Linked DNA regions of Tribolium castaneum. The protein of the gene in region 5 purifies or fractionates together with the protein of the main gene of each other region. This does not show direct contact. Links are inferred from orthologs where the notes say so. Each region holds a gene or a part of one and is shown on either strand. Other genes may lie near its edges.

Region 1 (4,050 bases), on a different chromosome or scaffold from region 5:
CTGTAGACGTCGATGGCACTTCCTCTAAATTCATTGTCGATGGTACTGTTTCTTCCGGTATATCAACACTATTCAAATGATCAAATTGTAAATCAATTTAAAACTAGGATTCACTTTTTACCTTAATGATTCAGCGGAACTAGAACAAGAAGGGAGTCCTTGTTTTTTCATCTTTTTTTTTTCTGGAGATTCCACTTGAAAATAGGCTCTTTTTGCGATATTGTGCAAAAATAATTCAGGACCATTTTCCTTTCTTCCATCCCGAAAATGGCAGCTGCAAACGTAGGCTCCTGGTCCGGGTTCTACATCTCTTCTACATTTAACAATGAAACAAGCAATTAAAAATTAATATCAAAACATCTATTAAAAATTACCTCAACAATTTTTTCCATAGTGCTCGTTCTTTTCCCGACTTAGGAAAACTAAAAAAATGGCATTTATCGCGAGTACTATAGTGTTTGCAATCTGGAGCCCAACACATTCCCATAGTTGTGATGTAAAAACCTACTACACATGAACTATCAAAGTATCGCAACAAAATATTATTCACAAATCATACCTAATGATGTACCACAAAAATGAGATAATGTCTTGGAAAAACAGAATTTTAAAAATTCAAGAACACGAAGATATGGAGAACGATCGGAAAAAACACGATAACAAAAGACACTCACGAAAGAAGCACAGAACTCACAACCCGTACTACTTTCAACCATGTATGTGCCTGAACCCTCTACCCTCGTATACCTGCTATTCATCCCTCGTGATGGGGGAGGGGGACAGAAAACAACCCGTTTATTGGGGTTGCGCCGGTTGCACCCCATGAATTCGTCATTCAGAAGAAATCCAATGTCATTAGTGTGGCAAACCATTTTTCCCTCAGTTTTAAAAGGCCACATAATAATTTACATCAATATGATGTCCAAATTAAGAAAAACTGAATTTTGAAGTTTGAAAAAAGTTAGGTTAGAAAAGGATTTATGTGTTCAACTTACAGAAATATTAGCTCAGTTGCTAAAATCTTTAAGAAACGACATTGCATTTTTCATAGCTATCATTTCTCTGTAAAAGTAATGTTCCTACACTTCTAGCATTAAAGAAATACGAAAAACTTTTAAATGCCCATAAGAAAAGCATTGAAAATGGCGATTGTTTAGCTTTAAGGTGCTGACCTACCTCAAATGTCTACGTCACACTGATAGCGCGTATAGTGTTTTTTTATGGAGCTAGGGTGGCGTACAGTTCATAAACATAAACACTATTCCACGTTTCGAGTTCCACGTTTTCGAGTTTAATTGGTCGTGGGGTTTGTTTCCTTTTAGTTAACTGGGGCGAAGCCCCAGCCACGCGCAACATATTTCCATAAAAACCACTATTCCAATATGCCCAGCTGAAATGAGAAGTCCGTTATGGTCTCCGTTCGTACTGTTCCGACCTCGCTCGCAACATTTCGACTGAGCGAACATTTGTAGACCGGCAGGGGCTAGCCGCTAGTGGTGCAACTGCCCACTTTTCGAGGTTAATTTAACCTGTGAACATGTGAACAAGAATTGTTAACAATGGGGGAGGTTTACGATTTGATTAAGAAGTTTCATCTTCATTCGAAGACCCACAAAGTCCAGGACGGTGGCACAGAAGAGTGGGTTAGTTTGGTTTTGCGCGAAAAATACTGGGATGACATTCTCGTGTTGTATGCGAACAATGCGCTGATTAAGGACTTTTTCAACTCGAAAAGTGACCAAGAGCGGGAGGAGTACCTCATTTTTGGGATTGCGTGCTTCACTTACTTCGTCCAATGCAACTTTACCGGGCCCCCCATCCCCAAAGTGATTGACGAATTCCTGGCCAAAGACAAGTTCAAGTCGTTTGATTTCGCCAGTCGGTTGGCCATGAACGGCGAAGACATCAACGTTAATACGAAAAATCCGGCCCTTTTGGCCGTTTCTGAGTTCATATTTGATTGTTGTGTCGTCAACACTTTGGTCAACTTGTGGTGGTGTTGCCGGGCTTTGATGATACACCAGGACGTTCTAGACGACTTGAGCCCCTCTTTGTTATCAAACGCCGACCGTCTCCACAAACTGCTCCAAGAACAACCGCTAAAAGGTGCGTTTTCTTGCACCAGTTCTTTGTAATTGACTGAATTTTAGGTGTTTTGAAAGCTGAGCTTAATACAGAACTGGCCCAAATGTACCTCAAATTCCGCCACATCACCAAAGCTCAAGACCACATCACGTCGGCGTGTGATGTGTTAGGACTGGCGTACGATTTTGTCGGTAAATTAGGCAAAAGAACGAAATTTCAAACCGATGAATTGGCACAACTTACTGTAAAAGTCACACTAGCCGATCAAGACGAAATAAAACGGCCTGAAATTGACGATATTGTTGTGCCGCAAAATTTCAGTCTCAATGACGACGTTAGATTGGACCAAGTCACATTTTCGGAAGAGTCCGATTCGGCAAAATTGCCCAATGCTGAGCAAAAACTGATTCTAACAATCATACGCAAGAAAATGATTTCTAGTCCCTCTGATGAGCTGCAAAGTGAGGAGATTCTACCCTTCATTGAGATGATTCTGAGCCAGAAGAACACGTACACAGTGCGTGTGATGGCATTGTTGTTGCGCTGTCAGTTAGAGTCCAATAATAAGAGGACTATTGAAAGGTGTTTGAAGCAGTGTGAGGACATTATCAGTAATTTCACAAAGGAGGAGCCGCCGGCAAGTAATAGAGTGGGTGATGTTTTCGGGACGGCAATGCTGCCCATTTGGAAAGTCCAAGCAGAGTATGCCGATATTTTGCTTAATTTTGGTTTGGTGAAAAACAGTTTGGATGTTTATTTGAGAATTCAGTTGTGGGAGGAAGTTATTATTTGTTACAATATTTTGAAAATGAGGGAAAAGGCGGCTGAAGTTATTAGGCAGCAGCTTGAGGTGAAGCCGACGGTGAAGTTAATGTGCCTTCTAGGTTTGTTTTTAATTTTTTTGTTAATATATTGCTCTATTTAAATGATTACGTCGTGATTTTTGTTTTTAATGTTCAATTTCATTATTTTTACCTTTTTCGAATGTATTTTTCTTGAGATTTTGTTTAATCGGACCTAAAAATGACATTGTTTTTGTCTTTCTCGAGCCATTTAGCACGTATTTAAACAAAAAAAAAACACATTTCGTAAAACTAACGCCAAATGTCATCAGTTCAAAAGTTCCTGATGCTTCTTGCGATTTTAAATTAGATTCCAAAAATGAATTAAAATCTGATTTACTCAATTGCTTTCATTTAATTTTTGTATTTCTTTAAGGTGACGCGACTGACGATGTAACATGTTACGAAACAGCCTGGGAGATGTCCAAGAAGCGCAGCCACCGGGCGCAAAGACACTGGGGGCGCTTTTTATTCGCACGCAGAAAATACGAAGAATGCATTCCACATTTTGAGAAATCTCTCAGCATAAACCCTCTCCAAGCCAACATTTGGCTAGGTTTAGGTTTCGCAGCCTTGCAAATAGAAAACTGGCAAACGGCAGCAACAGCCTACCGCCGCTACACCACCCTAGAACCTGACGGTTTTGAGGCTTGGAACAACCTAGCCCAAGCCTACATCAAACTGGGAAACAACCGCAGCGCACACCAAGCCATCCTGGAAGCCTTGAAGTGCAACTTCGACAATTGGAAAGTCTGGGAAAATTTGCTTCTAATCAGCTGTGATATCTCGAATTATTCGGATGTAATCCGCGCCTACCATCGCATAATCGATTTGAAAGAAAAGTATTTAAATGTGGAAGCTTTGAATATTCTTGTGTATAGTGTTTGTAACGACGCCACTGATTCTGAAGGGAATTCCGCGAGGAAGTTTTTGCAAAAAATCCGGGAGTTGTTGGGGAGAGTTGCAGGGTTGTATCCCAGCAATGGGCCAGTCTGGGAGTTGTATGCCAGTTTAGCGCCGGTTTTGTTACTTAGGGCCCAGCGACTGCAAAGGGCCTACAGGGGATACACCCAAGGGTCGTGGGACAAAGACCCGAAAACTTGTTTGTATGTTTTAAATGTGT
Region 2 (2,835 bases), on a different chromosome or scaffold from region 5:
CAATTTGCTCGAAAACTATTAGTCGGAGAACAATAATCTTTTTTGAAAAAAATAGATAATTTAAAGAGCTTTCCAACGATAATACACTTCATGGGGTTATCTCTAATAGTTCCGGAGCTATTGCTCGACAAATGTTCCGGGTACCCAAAATCGACAAAAACTGCGACGAAAATTGAAAAAATCAAACATCAAAAAATCGAACATTTGGACTTTTTGTGGACTTTTAACAACTTTTGTGGGTTGTTAAGACATGTAGGAGTCCATAAAAAGTTCCTAGAGTTAGTTAAAAAAAAATTTTTGTTTCACCTCTTGAAGGTACTCAGGAAATTTGAGCAAAAAAAATTGAAAATTTTAAATTGCGTGAAAAATTAGTATAATAGAGAAAAAAAGCCGCTGAATCCAATGGAACAAACCGCATTGCTCTACGACTTTTAGTTTTTGAGTTATGAATTTCAAAACAACACAGTGATTATTTGCTCGGATTTTTAAAAGAAATAAAAACAAATCAAAATAAATAATTTATTCAAAAATAAAAAACACTACAAAAGGCTAATATCTCCTAAATTGTTTTTTGAACTTTTCGTAGTGATAATCATCGGTGGCCCTCTCATCCTTTTTCTTCGGCTTTTCCGTAGCCTCCTCCACTTTATCATCCAACTTGGCCTTCTTTTTAGCAACCTCTGCGTCTATATTAACTGTAAAAAAAGTAAAAAACTCCAAATATGAGCAGTTCTGCCAACTCACATCGATTGTGCTGCACAAAATTCACCGCCATATTCGTCGGCACAAAAGGCGAAGGCCCGTCCTTCTTATTCTGCTTCTCCCACAGCAGCCTCAACTTCGCCTCTTCCGTAGCTTCAATATTCTTAATCTTGGCCTCAATCCCCAGGTCCACTTCCGGAATCCCATTCAACATCTGATTGGACAACATCTCCTCCGACCTCTTCGTCGACGACTCCCTCAAATGGTCCGGGACTGCCCTCAAAGCCGCCTCCTCGGGGCTGGTGTACGCCGACTTGTTCTCAGCCTCGGCCTGCTCCTGGGGCTCGACCTTGCGCTTCTTCTTCGACAACTCTTCTTCAATAAACTTCATCATTTCCTCGTCTTCGTCACGTTTATTCGTCTCGACCGAAAACTGGGTCCCTATGCCAGTGTCGTACGCATCATCGACTTGCTTGACTTTGCCGCTTTTAAGGGCTTGCATGTTGACCATGCCGCCGGACTTCACCTTGAAAGGGTCCTTTGAAATGCACTCGTCCTCGATGGTGATTTTGGTACCTAGGGCTAGCCCCAAGGCGTTGACTCCATGGGGGCGCTTACGCAAGTTTTGTAACTCCTTCATTTCTTCTAGTTTGGTGCTAAAAGCAACGTTAGGGGAGGCACCACAGTGAAGGGGGTCTTGTTACCTGACCTCCTCCAGGTCCTCCTCTCGGTCACTACCATCCGAGGGGCGCCTTTGGCGCAGCTGTTTACGGTTTTTACGTTTAAAAACGGGTTTCGAGTCATTTGAATCGTTAGATTCGGTTTTAATCCCACTTGTTGACATGACGAATTTGAGGTTATGACGCCCCAATAACTACACCAAAAACGACCAAAACCACCACAAGACACTCGAGACTGGCTCACAAAACACAAAATAATTCATAATTCGTGTGGCACCATTAAATTAAAGCCACAATTGTGTTTTTCGCTTAATCGGGTTAGGGATTTTCGTTTTGTCGTTTAGTGACAAGTAAGCACCCCGTTTAAATTTCAAATGTCAAAAAAAGATTTCAAAAAATTTGTGCCAAAAATGGATTTGGACGACACACCGTAAGTGTTTTAGGCCTAAAATTACCAAAATAACACAAATTAGTCGTAGCGTTGTTGTTACAACATCACGGGTATACTCGGACGTGTTCTCAAACAAGCCCTCTTCCTACTTTGAGTACGACAACTACAACCCCCCGACTGACGATATCAACAATTACAGTTTGATTCGGAAAATCGGTCAAGGGAAGTACAGTCTAGTGTTCGAGGGGGTGCACGATGGTACTAACGATTCGGTCGTGGTCAAGTTGCTAAAACCGATCAAAAAACCGAAAATCAAACGTGAAATTAAAATTTTGGAGCACTTGAGGAACGGCCCCAACATTGTGAGTTTATATGCCGTGGTGTCGGTGCCTTCCACAGCTTTGCACGCCCTGATTTTCGAATCCCCGTCAAATAATGAGGACTTTAAGGAGGTTTATTTGAAATTGAGTGATTCCGATATCCGGTTTTACATTTACGAAATTTTGAAAGCCCTTGATTTCTGTCACAGCAAGGGCATAATGCATCGTGACGTCAAGCCGCACAATATCATAATTGACCGGAAAAATCGCAAAATCCGGTTGATTGATTTCGGTTTGGCTGAGTTTTACCGTCCCGGAGAACGTTACAACGTCCGGGTGGCGTCTCGGCATTACAAAGGCCCGGAATTGTTGGTAGAGTACGGTTATTACGACTATTCCCTCGACTTGTGGTCGCTTGGGTGCGTTTTTGCCGCAATGATCTTCCGTAAAGAACCTTTCTTCCAAGGATTTGATAACCGCAACCAACTGTATTGCATTGTTAAAGTGTTGGGCACGAGCAAGTTTTACTCTTATTTGAATAAATACAACATTGTGCTGGAAGGTAGCATGCAGGAGATGTTGGGGATTCACTCGAAAAAACCCTGGCAGAGATTTGTCAATACGGAGAATGAGCATTTAGTGAATCAGAATGCCTTTGATTTTTTGGAATCGTTGCTTTGTTATGATCACATGGAAAGATGTACGGCTCAGGAGGCCTTGGGGCATAAGTATTTCGGGCCGG
Region 3 (3,998 bases), on a different chromosome or scaffold from region 5:
AGACTACAAGGTATTCTGAATTTTCCTGTTGCAAATTTTCAGGAAAATATTCATAGGCGATTTTGAAGTGATTTTTCAAAAATTGGTCTCTCTTATAACGAAAAACTGAATCATTCCAAAAGAAAAAAGATAGACCCATAATAGTTTATATAAAGTTACATTATTTCTTTGCGTAGATTCCAATTATGCGAAAATATATAGGGTGTTCCATTTAAAAAAATATAACTTTGGTATACAACACCCTGTGTATAAAAAAAATATTTTTAGTTTGTGGATTTTAAGTCGATCTCTTGGATAAATAAAAACAGCATAGCAATAGTTCAATTCCCAAAAAAGTTAAAGACCGATTACACACCCCTGGGTCACCTACTGTATATTAAAAATAGAAGCGGTTCAAAAGTTGAGCCTTGTGGAACACCGGACGTAATATTACCTGCTTTTGATTGGGAGTTGCCTATAGTAGCAACTTGTTTTTTTATTTTGTCAAATAAGGAAGAAAAAATAATTTTTAAAGCCATAATAGTATATTATGATACAAGTTTTATAAGCCACATTTTGTCGCACGCACGAATTTAGAGCACGACGAGCGCAACGACAAAATGCCTTATAAACAAGATATCATACAGTATTTTTTCTACTTCGCACTTTTTGTACCAACAAAATTAATTTCAAAATTTAGGAAATTTTGGGGCTGTTGATAAATTGCCAGTTTATTACAATATTCAAAAATTTCGTTACACTCATTTGCGAATTTATTGGAGACTTAATAAATGGAAGATGGTAATTTTTGATGTCTGTCATTAGTTCTATTTGTAACGACAAATTCAGTGACTAGATGAAAATCATTAAAACACACCTTGTACCATTTTCCATTGCGTCTTGGAATTTTTCGTCGTCGGTGTCACTATCACTATCACTGTTTACAAAAACACTGTTTGGCACAGTTCTAGTGCGGTCGTATTCCTTTTGGGCCGCTTCCAAGTCGTAAGAGCCCGATTTTCGCTCGGTAGCGGCTTTTTTCGAGTTGATATTCGGAACGGTGATTCTCCACTGCTGTTTCGTTATTTTATTGCAGATTTTTTTCATTTTCGCTCGCGTCGCACTCAATTGCTGCTACTTACTGACACTCATTTGTGAAAAAAGCAGGATAAACGCTAATTAGGTTGTGTGTACGGTTAGATAAGGAAGGAAAATGTTGACGTCGATGAAACTGTTAAAGGTAAATTATTGGGAAGGTCGCATATTGTGCTTGCTATCATATGACGGTGACATAACACAACACTCGAAAGTTCACATTTTTCACTTTTCGCACTCGCGCTTCATTCAGAACTACCGCAGGGCCAACGCGGAGCAAGACCTCACTATATTAGTCTGTGGTGCTATAATTATCACATGTGTGTGTGGCTTAGACGGATGTATTGATGCCCATCAGACCACGTGAGAACCGCTCTTTTCGACGACATTAAACTGATTTGTTGACGCGAGTTAATTCGTTTCAAATGACTCGGAAACGTATGCAAAAATGAAAGTTTTCCACATTCTTTACACGACTTTGCCATCAGAAATGTTGGCAAATATTTTGATAACGCAAATATTGTAAAATGATTCAGTAAATCAGTTTGGTCGTAATGAGGTCGCTATTTTAATTAACTGAACTAATTGGGACAGATAACTAACGGGGTAATTCAATTAGCTAATTGAAATGTTTGCATTTTTGCGCCGTATCCAAGTTCAAATAGAATGAATTAAAGAAAGTGCAGAAATACAGAATAAAAGACGGAAAAAAATTAATCTTTTCGTTTTTCTCTGCTCTAGTACAGTCAGATCTGGTGATTTCGATGCTAATCTGGACAAAACGCTGGTTTTTTCAAACTGTAAAAGGTGGTCACAGATGGTGATTATTTGATCACTGATTATTTGACAATTTTGTTGCCAGAATAAAACTTTACGGTCATTGAAAAAATATTGTAAGTAATTAACTCATTTGTTAATTATCTTTCACAATACTTCAATCTATGTATTTTTTTTCAGAATGTTTCTACCCTTCCTTTAATTAAAATTGATTAATTAAGGATATTAATTAATCGGTAATTTATGATTTCTTGTGTTACCTTAAAACAATACGGTGGTTAAACGATGTTCTCGAAAAAAAGCAAAATTTCGTTTATTTGAATTTCTAATTTTTACTTACATTCGATTCACTTCAATAAAAACCATTGTGGTGCAAATAGCGTACTCTGGGCATTAACTTTCATATGGGTTGTCATGGTAACAGGTTAGTCATTTGCACCACAATGGTTTTTATGAAAGTAAACCGAAAGTAATTATTTTATTCTTCAACAGTGCCAAAATTTACAGTTTTTTTTCTGTGTAAGAAAGTTTTGACAACTGTTTGACATTTCTCACTACGAAACATGAGATTATTTTTAACAAATTTAAGCAATTTTAAGGATCGGTTTATAGAAACGTCATTAATTTAATTCGCAATTAATTGCGTGATTAACGGATCACGTGACCAAATTGAGCAAATCTGATTGGTCCATTTGCGTTGTTGACTTTTAACAGCGAATTAAATTTTAACGAAGCTTTCTATAAACCGGCCCTAAGCTTTGTTGAGTTTAATTCGAAGATTAAAATGTTGTATTCAACTCGTTTTCATGTAAATCGGTTCATTTAATTTACCTCGTGGATAATAAACCCCTCGTTGTCATTCGACGTTTAAAAATCCGATTTACACTCAAACTCGGTAAATAAATAACTATTTTGGGACTAGCAATACTTTTTTACAGATATTTATAACAATTTTTTGCAGCTATTTAAAAGTAATTAATTAATTTTATTTATTAGAAATTGTAGAAAAATTCTGGAAAAATTCACAGGCATAAAGAAAATGACAAAAAACTGAACAGCATTTAGAATTCTGGGCGATTTATTAGTTCTAGATAATAGTAATAAATATACTTTTAATAGACTCACACTGTATAAATATTAACAAACTAGATTATGCAATATTATAACTATGTACTACACAAATAGTAAATTAAGTTCAAATGACGTAAGAATTTTTTGCGTTTCTCAAAAACATAGTTAGATAAATTTAATTAGATAATAATTGATTAATTTATTAGACCACTCCGGAAAATCAATTAAACGCAATTATTCGCAAAATTTTATTAAAAACAAGTTGGAAATCCACCAAATTATACAAAAAAAAATTTGTTTTCTGTTGAAACCTGATAAAAAAACTAAAAAATATCAAGTTGAATTAAAACTAGAATATGCTACTCTCGATTTAGTCTATTTTTGAACCGAAAATCATATTTTGGAAGACCTTGTCTGAACATATAATATTTAGAAACAACGAAACAATGATGTTAACTAATTTATTGTCACGTTCTTCAACCAAAAACTCAATTATTTAGCAAAATTATTTTAAAAAATAGATAAAATTCGGCCAAAAATTGTATAAGTTTTGCATTTTTCAAGTATTTGAGCACTTTTTTTGAAATAAAAATTAAGTTTTTTTTCGAAATTAATCTAATAAAATACTAAATCGACTTGAAAAAGGTGTTATTTTACCCTTTTCAAACTTCAAGCAATTCAAAAAATGACTATGTTTTTTGTGAGACTGAAAAATCACATAACTAAGTAAAAAATTATAATAATTTTGTTCTTTCCAAGCATATACTTTACCACATTTTACAGCCTGATACGCAATTATTTTGCGAAATTTCATTAAAAACAAACTGAAAAATTTTATTATTTTCGAAAATTTTGCCTGAACTGGGTAAAAAATCGTAAACTTAGGTCGAAATTGAGGTTCTTTTAGCTTGTATCGCTGGACTTTAAAGCAAAGACTTAAGACTGGTTTATCGAAGTGTCATTAATTTAATTCGAAATTAAATATGTGATTAACGGATCACGTGACTAAATTGAACTAATTTGATTGGTCCATTCGTGCTGTTAACTTTTAACAACGAATTAAGTTTAAACAAAGC
Region 4 (3,948 bases), on a different chromosome or scaffold from region 5:
AACGGAAACGCATTCGCCTAAAACTAAACCCAAAGTTGAGTCTGACGACGAAAAAATGGATGTTGATTTGCCAGAAAACATCGCAAATTACCCAAAAGAGCCAGTTACCAACCCATCATCTAGTCAGCTTGAGGACGATTTTGTTTTTGTATGTAGCATTTTATTTTTATTATTTTATTTTGTATTTGAAATTTTCAGTTGGGCGAGCGCAAGGCAATGTTATTTTCTCTCGAATCGGCGCGTTCTTTACCAGCTGAAGACCTACCAGACGATTTTTTTGAGCTCACAATTGATGATGCTAAGAAAATTCTGGGCGATATTAGAAGAAAGCGAAACGAAATGGACAACGCTAATCTCATGACCTCTGCAATGCGCAATTTAGAAGAATCAAAGAAGCAATTACGCCAACTGCGTAAATATAAACAGTCAGTAATACGCGTCCAGTTCCCAGACAGGTCCATCCTTCAAGGGAGCTTCAAGCCCAGCGAAACTGTTAAAGATATTAAAGATTTCGTCACTTCTTTCCTAGAAGATCCAAACAGTGATTTTCATCTTTGTAAGTATTGTTCTACTTCAGTCAAGTGACCTTTGACTCTAGTCAGAAACTACTTTGATCACATGTTTAAATATTGTTACAGATACAACGCCGCCTAAAAATGTTCTCTCGGACGAATCAAAACTAGTGGAAATTGGTTGCGTGCCGGGGGCTTTGTTGCATTTAGGAGCAAATGGTGATGGGAGTTCTGTGTGCTTGAAGGCGGAATTGAGGGATAAATTTACAACAAACTCAAAAGCAAGTTTAGCGGCGTCACAGTTGCGGCAAAAGGGAACAAGACCCGAATCTCCGAGTGAAGAAATGGGCCAGGATGAGTCTATGGATACACTGACTGAAGCAAATGCTGCTGGGCCAAGTACACAACCAACCAGTTACGAGAGGAAAGTAATAAAATCAACGGAAAAAGTCCCTAAGTGGTTTAGACCATCAAAGTGATTTATTAGTGTTAAGTTTATATGAGTTGGTACTTATATTAAATAAAAGCACTTCAGCATCTAATTTTGTTTTATTTTGGTGAGAGGAGCGGGTGTTTTTGAATAGTTTGGGGAGTTTTGTTTTATTGGCACCAATGGTGTGTCAAATGTCATTCAAATTTTTTAATTGATTACTTTTAAAACAACAATGGCAAGTAAAGTTAACGTTCTTGAGTCCGTTCGTGAAGATGATTTTGTTGAATATCATCTTTTTCCACCTATTGATTCCCAGGACGACAAAGAACAAGAACTTGCGTTAACCAGAGTTTTAAATCAGTGTGAAAAAATCGTAAAAAGGTACACCGATGAGTATTTATGGCATAAAGACGAATTTAAATTAACTGTGAGAACGTGGATTAGTAATTCACTGATTCATGATAGTGAAAAAACAGGTAATGGTCGTATTTTATGACTTCACATTAAAAAAGTGCTTTTACATTTTTTGAGGTTATAAACCAGCAAATGCTTTGTTTAAAGTAAATCTGTATAAATCACAATGTAACAATTTTTTGAATCACCTAATTCGAGATCAATTGTTTTGCAGAGTATTTACCACCACATTTATATGGCGTAACTCATTTTGGAGACAATATAGAGGACGAGTGGTTTATTGTGTTCCTTTTACGTCTCCTAACTAAGGAAATTGATGGTTTAATAGCTCGTGTGCACGACGCTGATGGCGAATTTATTTTAATTGAAGCAGCTGATTACTTACCTTTATGGGCAGACCCTAACAACTGCGAAAATAGGGTAAGGTTTCTCATTATCTGTGCTTGTCTTTTTTCTAATTCAAATTAGAATAAAGTGATAATTGATTTTTTTGTTGGAAATTTTAATTAAAAAACGTTGCTATGGTAAGAGTGTTTTAAAATAGTGTTTATAATCTAGCATTCAGATGTGAAAAAGAAGGCTTAAAATGTTACCATCAAAAAAATAATTTAACGAATGCAACACAAGTCAATGAACGAAGCTGTACCAACATGTGAAAAAATTGCAACAAAATTGCAGCTCTATAAGATAGTACTTCTACATTAAAATTCACTTAAGTAATAATTTATTAGTTAAGCATTTATAATTATTTATACATTTCTGTAATAACTGAAGCAAAACTGACTTGGATCTGGTTTTTCTCCAGGTATACATTTACCAAGGCAACATTCATATCATCCCTCTAGACACCTCGGATCACCTCCCAGAAATGGCCCAAATGGCGGTCAATGAGGCCGTCTCAACAATCCAAAACAATCCGATCGACACTTTAGCCTCATCAGACATCCAAAACTGTATAATCAACAAATTAAAAGACTACCCTGACAAAATCCAGTCCAGTCTTCACCATGCCACTGCCTACCTACCAGTAGGTGTCGCTGCAATTTTGCGCCACAAACCCGGGCTTATAGCCCCCGCCGTCCAAGTCTTTTGTAATCGAGACCCAGTTGACGCCAAAACCTGCAAAGCCATGAAATATTTTCCGCCCGAAAACCGCGTAAATGCCAGAGTGACATTTACTAAATGTTTATACGCAATGCTAACTCACAGTAAATACGTTCCGGATCGCAGAACCGGCTGGAACTTGCCTAAAAGCGACAGCCCACAGTTTAAAGCGCAGAATTTAGGCGTTAAAATCGCCTGTGGGTTTGAGATTTTAGCCGCGCAAGCCAAACCAAGCCAGGACATTGAACAGGATAAAGGGTGGGTTAATTATTTTGAGAAACTGAAAGAGAAAAATTATTTTCGGGGGTTGTTGGAGCATTCAAGAGAATACAACGATTTATTAAACAAAGCGAAAGAGTACTACATCAATCACCGAGACTCTATGCACTATTCTCCAGCCATTGGGCAAGAAATTGTCCAGTTGATCAAAAATTTGGATTTTAAGATCGATGAATTGAAGGAGGAAAGTAATTTGCCTGACGATGACGATTCGTGGCTTAACGTCAGCCCGGAAGAGTTGGATAAAATGTTAGAAGAAAAATACGGGCAAAAGAAATTCGTTACAGTGAACAACAACTCAGACGCCGCCTCTTTCACTGAAAAAATCTCCTCGTTCTTAAACCACGTGTCAGATATTGACGGAGTTGAGCACCCAGACCTGGACAATTCCCCAACTCGGCCCCCTAGAGGCGTGAAAAAACGCACCAAAGTTTCGTTCGCAAGTGGCACAAAAACCGAGACAACAGCTAATAATAGAGTTAGTTTTGATCCGAATGCGTTTTCTTGCGCCGTTCAGAACATCCTGAATTTTGTCATTCCGGAAGATGACAGTTGGGATTTGGATTCTGGGTCTGATATGAGCGATTACGCCGACGATGTTGCCGGGAATGAGGAGATGTACGAAGGGGTTAAAAATAAAATGCAGGAGTATATGGAACAGATGGATAAGGAACTGGCGGCGACCACAATCGGGGAAAGTTTCGAGAAGAAGAACGGGGACGGGTTTGAGGATATTGAGAGTTTTAAACCTGTTGATATTGACGTGAATGCGTTGAAGAATATTCTGGAGAGTTATAAGTCGCAGTTGGGGGAGGCGGGACCGTCGAGTAATATGTTAGGGCCGATGGGGGTGCACTTGGATGTCAGTAATAACGATGATTGAGATGATTATTTAAGCGCGATTTATTGATTTACTGTTAATTTTTGTAGCGCGTGCCAATAAGGAGGTTTACTGCCATTGTCTTTTCACTATTGATGTATACAGTGTACGAGATTCACACGTTAAGCTGTACAGAACACGAACGATTTGATTACATGCTTAATATTACCTCAGAAATATGAAAAATATTTTGTGTTAACGTTACGTTGTTTTTGCAACTATGACACATTTCTTTTTTTCGTTCTGTACAGCCGCATATGTATTTTAGATTTAGCTGCTTGTTATGAAAATTAAAAGAATATATTTAATACTTTAGGATATTATGC
Region 5 (3,259 bases):
CTCGCTGATTGACTTCTTCAGCTTCACTGCGTGGATTTTCTACGGGGGCGCGATGTTGGCTCTGATTGTGATGCGATACACTAAGCCCAACTATCCTAGGCCCTACAAGGTACTTTTTATACCCAAGATTTAGTTTTTTGTGATTTTGCAATTTGTTCCAGGTGCCAATTATCATTCCGTATGTGGTATTAGTGATCTCTTTCTACCTGATAGTAGCTCCTATAGTAGACAAGCCTACCATTGAGTACCTGTATGCAGCGCTGTTCATTTTCAGTGGGATGGTTTTTTACGTCCCCTTTGTGCATTACAAAATGCGGATCCCATTCATGGGTGCGTCCACTCCACACTGTTAGTTTTTTTTTTTTAATATTTATTTTCAGACGGCGTGACTGTTTTCCTGCAGATGATATTTGAAGTAGCACCAACATCGACAATGTTGGAGTAGAACGGCAGAAAGCTCAAATTTATATATTTGTAGCTGGTAGAGGGTCATGGTTACAGGTAAAACTCTTGGTTTCATCTATACAACGTTATTTTTGTGCTTACTGTGACTTGAAAATGTGTAGATGGAACTAGATGAAAATTATTATAAATGTAAAATGTAGGTAAATTGCACGGATCATTCCCAACCATCGGGGTATCTCATGGGGTGCAACGTGGATATCCATAACTGTTTCGTTCGTTCAAATAAAATTAGTGTCGAGCAATAAAACTTAGAGTGAACGTATTATACAGTAGATAAATGTGAAATTTAATTACTCGGTGTAATATCGTCGATGTTTTCGCTAATTTTATTTGAATTTGATAGTTGTGCATTTTATATTAACTATACATTTACTGCAAAAAGTCTGACTTTTTTATGAACTTATTTTTATATTAGTAAAGTTCCTGTAACCATGATAAAATTTCAAAACACAATAGATTGACATGTTTCAGGTAAAATATGAATCTGTTATTCCTTACCTAAACAATGTTAATTGCGACTTTGGGTTTTCTACAGTTTTTTATTTCATTTCTTAAAAGCAGTACTAAAAGATTCGAATCTCGAAGAGAGTATTACCACAGTTAGCGACAGGGATATTAATTCAAACATTTCTATTCCCCTCAAAGTACCTGCTGAATAGGGTGGCGAAAAAGAAAATATTTTCTTCAAATAGTCATTAACATATCTACAATACTCTCGAACGAATCTTGGAAACATCGATTTATTAAGCAAAAATTGTTATTTTTATCATTTGATAATAGCTTTTGTATAAAATTTAGAAAAGTAAAATTGTTGCCAAATGTAAAGCGTATATTGTTGTGCAATATAAAGAAATATATTGTAATACAGAAGAAGTTTTATTTATTTTTGCCCAAAACCAAAATTCCCACTTTTTTGGACGGCATTACTGGTTGCATAACATGACAATTGTGTCAATACTTGACACAATCCTAACCTCACAATTGACAATTTGCCAAAAACGTAAACAAACACATGGACCAAGCCACAGCTCGACGCCTGCTCTCCGAGGGCGCCTTCTTCATCCTCCTGGGGGTCCCCGAGGGCACCGAGTTCGGCATCGACCTCAAATCCTGGAACACGGGGGAGAAGTTCCGCGGGGTTAAAATGATCCCCCCAGGCGTGCACTTCATATTTTACAACTCTGTTAGTGCGACAACCGACGATGTGGCCCCCAGAGTTGGGTTTTTCCACAATTTTAAACCGGGCGAAGTCCTGGTGAAAAAATGGTCAAAGGTAAATGAGCAAATCAGTGACGAGCAAGTCAATGAGTCGGAAATCGTGAGTTTGAAGGAGAATTTGAGGGCTCTTGATGGGTTTCTGGGGCCTTATCCGTTCGATATTGCGGAGCGGTGGGCCAGCTTAGTGGGGAGCATCACCGGTAGACTGATTCAATTTTTTGGGGGGTTTTTAGACGTTTTTTTTTAGAAAATTTGTTGGGGAAATTGGTGCCGCAGTGTGGGCAAGTGAGGGCTGCTTTGGAGCTGCAGTCGTGCAGCGATGCCGAGCGGCCCAGGGGGGCTAAAAGAAAAAAGGGGGAGGCGAGTGAGCCGTCTTGTAGCGGGATAAAAAATTTGTCCGGTTGTGGAGAACTTGATTTGTTGCCTGCTTTAAAACCGATCGAAGGGACGGAGTTAAGGTTGACGAAATTCCCTGAAAAGAACTATCCTGAGGGAAGCTCGCCCTCTGAAATTACGCAGCATTCCCTTGATTTAACATTTGTTTTTGAAACACTTTTGTCACAGTATTCTGAGTATGTAATGTTAGATTAAACGTAACATTATGTTAATTTAAATTTTTATTGAAGGTCTACGGAAATCATCGGTGAGCTGGAATTCTGCTACATTTGTTTCCTTGTAGGCCACAGTTTGGAGGCATTTGACCAGTGGAAAAAACTAGTGACTTTGTTTTGTTCCTGTGATGCCGCTATTACAAAATATAGAAAATTATTCGATTTATTTATAACAGTTTTAGAAGTACATATAAAGGAAATACCGGAAGAATTCTTAGCAGATATTGTTTCAAACGATAATTTTGTTTATGTTAATTTGAAAAAATTATTTAGGTCGATTCATGAATCAAACGTTGACGGACAATTTAAAAGTAAAGTCGTTCGATTTAAAAATTCTTTAACTACGACGTTTTTGTGGGATTTTGAACATCTGGATTCCGATGAAGACGACGAAGCCCCAGTTATTGTAGAAACTTAATTTTGTTGTGTTGAAAATAAAACTATTTTACTTCATGTTGAATTTTATTAACAAGAATTCCCAGAATTATGAAACAAAGAATAGTGGAAAAGTTGTATAGTACATACATCATAGTTCAAAAAAAATATATACAAGGTGAAACAAAGTAGAACAAGTTAACTAAATAAAAAATGAAGAAATATTGAAAACAAAAAAACCTATTAAACGAAGTTTTTTTAAAGTCACATCCAAAAGTTGTGACAAGTTCACATTACCCATCGATATAAAAACTCACGAATTAAAGACGTCTTAATAAAACAGAAAACTGACAAGACAGTAAAACCTCTCACCAAGGGACATCGATGAGGAATTTTTAATTGTCCGTTGTGGAGAGGTGTCCGTTATTCAGAGGTGGACATTAAAGGAAGTTTAATAGTATTTGAAATAAATCGTTTTTGACCATTTAGCGAAAAAATCAAATACGAGCACCTACCTACCTAATAAATATTTATAATATTATCAACTTTGCTAAAACAAATCAACACGAATAAAAAAAAGTGCATTTAAA

Evidence for each region.
Region 1: the proteins of protein AAR2 homolog (region 5) and tetratricopeptide repeat protein 27 purify together in Homo sapiens (affinity purification with mass spectrometry; 3 studies listed by BioGRID and IntAct, with this or other methods). This does not show direct contact. The link is inferred for Tribolium castaneum from reciprocal best matches to the Homo sapiens genes AAR2 and TTC27.
Region 2: the proteins of protein AAR2 homolog (region 5) and splicing factor C9orf78 purify together in Homo sapiens (affinity purification with mass spectrometry; 3 studies listed by BioGRID and IntAct, with this or other methods). This does not show direct contact. The link is inferred for Tribolium castaneum from reciprocal best matches to the Homo sapiens genes AAR2 and C9orf78.
Region 3: the proteins of protein AAR2 homolog (region 5) and p23 purify together in Homo sapiens (affinity purification with mass spectrometry; 3 studies listed by BioGRID and IntAct, with this or other methods). This does not show direct contact. The link is inferred for Tribolium castaneum from reciprocal best matches to the Homo sapiens genes AAR2 and PTGES3.
Region 4: the proteins of protein AAR2 homolog (region 5) and ecd purify together in Homo sapiens (affinity purification with mass spectrometry; 3 studies listed by BioGRID and IntAct, counting the BioPlex papers as one, with this or other methods). This does not show direct contact. The link is inferred for Tribolium castaneum from reciprocal best matches to the Homo sapiens genes AAR2 and ECD.

Annotation. Positions count from the first base shown.
Region 1 is NC_087394.1:32,815,678-32,819,727, reverse strand, and holds the start of tetratricopeptide repeat protein 27, read left to right. Parts: upstream 1-1,244; 5' UTR 1,245-1,559; coding exon 1,560-2,106; intron 2,107-2,150; coding exon 2,151-2,969; intron 2,970-3,303; coding exon 3,304-4,050. Other genes in the region: uncharacterized protein LOC135265904, read right to left, coding at 1-68, 122-313, 375-507, 560-899.
Region 2 is NC_087394.1:36,668,400-36,671,234, reverse strand, and holds splicing factor C9orf78, read right to left. Parts: upstream 1,547-2,835; coding exon 1,407-1,546; intron 1,359-1,406; coding exon 745-1,358; intron 696-744; coding exon 550-695; 3' UTR 506-549; downstream 1-505. Other genes in the region: casein kinase II subunit alpha, read left to right, coding at 1,757-1,812, 1,856-2,835. UniProt on the Homo sapiens protein: Plays a role in pre-mRNA splicing by promoting usage of the upstream 3'-splice site at alternative NAGNAG splice sites; these are sites featuring alternative acceptor motifs separated by only a few nucleotides. May also modulate exon inclusion events.
Region 3 is NC_087398.1:11,209,306-11,213,303, reverse strand, and holds the start of p23 (prostaglandin E synthase 3), read left to right. Parts: upstream 1-1,192; coding exon 1,193-1,437; intron 1,438-3,998. Other genes in the region: Nost (nostrin), read right to left, coding at 857-1,086. UniProt on the Homo sapiens protein: Cytosolic prostaglandin synthase that catalyzes the oxidoreduction of prostaglandin endoperoxide H2 (PGH2) to prostaglandin E2 (PGE2).
Region 4 is NC_087394.1:35,465,450-35,469,397, reverse strand, and holds the start of ecd (protein ecdysoneless), read left to right. Parts: upstream 1-1,135; 5' UTR 1,136-1,177; coding exon 1,178-1,421; intron 1,422-1,573; coding exon 1,574-1,779; intron 1,780-2,164; coding exon 2,165-3,625; 3' UTR 3,626-3,948. Other genes in the region: tether containing UBX domain for GLUT4, read left to right, coding at 1-148, 199-556, 639-991. UniProt on the Homo sapiens protein: Regulator of p53/TP53 stability and function. Inhibits MDM2-mediated degradation of p53/TP53 possibly by cooperating in part with TXNIP. May be involved transcriptional regulation. In vitro has intrinsic transactivation activity enhanced by EP300.
Region 5 is NC_087397.1:5,819,694-5,822,952, forward strand, and holds protein AAR2 homolog, read left to right. Parts: upstream 1-1,405; 5' UTR 1,406-1,477; coding exon 1,478-1,883; intron 1,884-1,930; coding exon 1,931-2,255; intron 2,256-2,309; coding exon 2,310-2,712; 3' UTR 2,713-2,747; downstream 2,748-3,259. Other genes in the region: sbm (b(0,+)-type amino acid transporter 1), read left to right, coding at 1-109, 162-330, 381-445. UniProt on the Homo sapiens protein: Component of the U5 snRNP complex that is required for spliceosome assembly and for pre-mRNA splicing.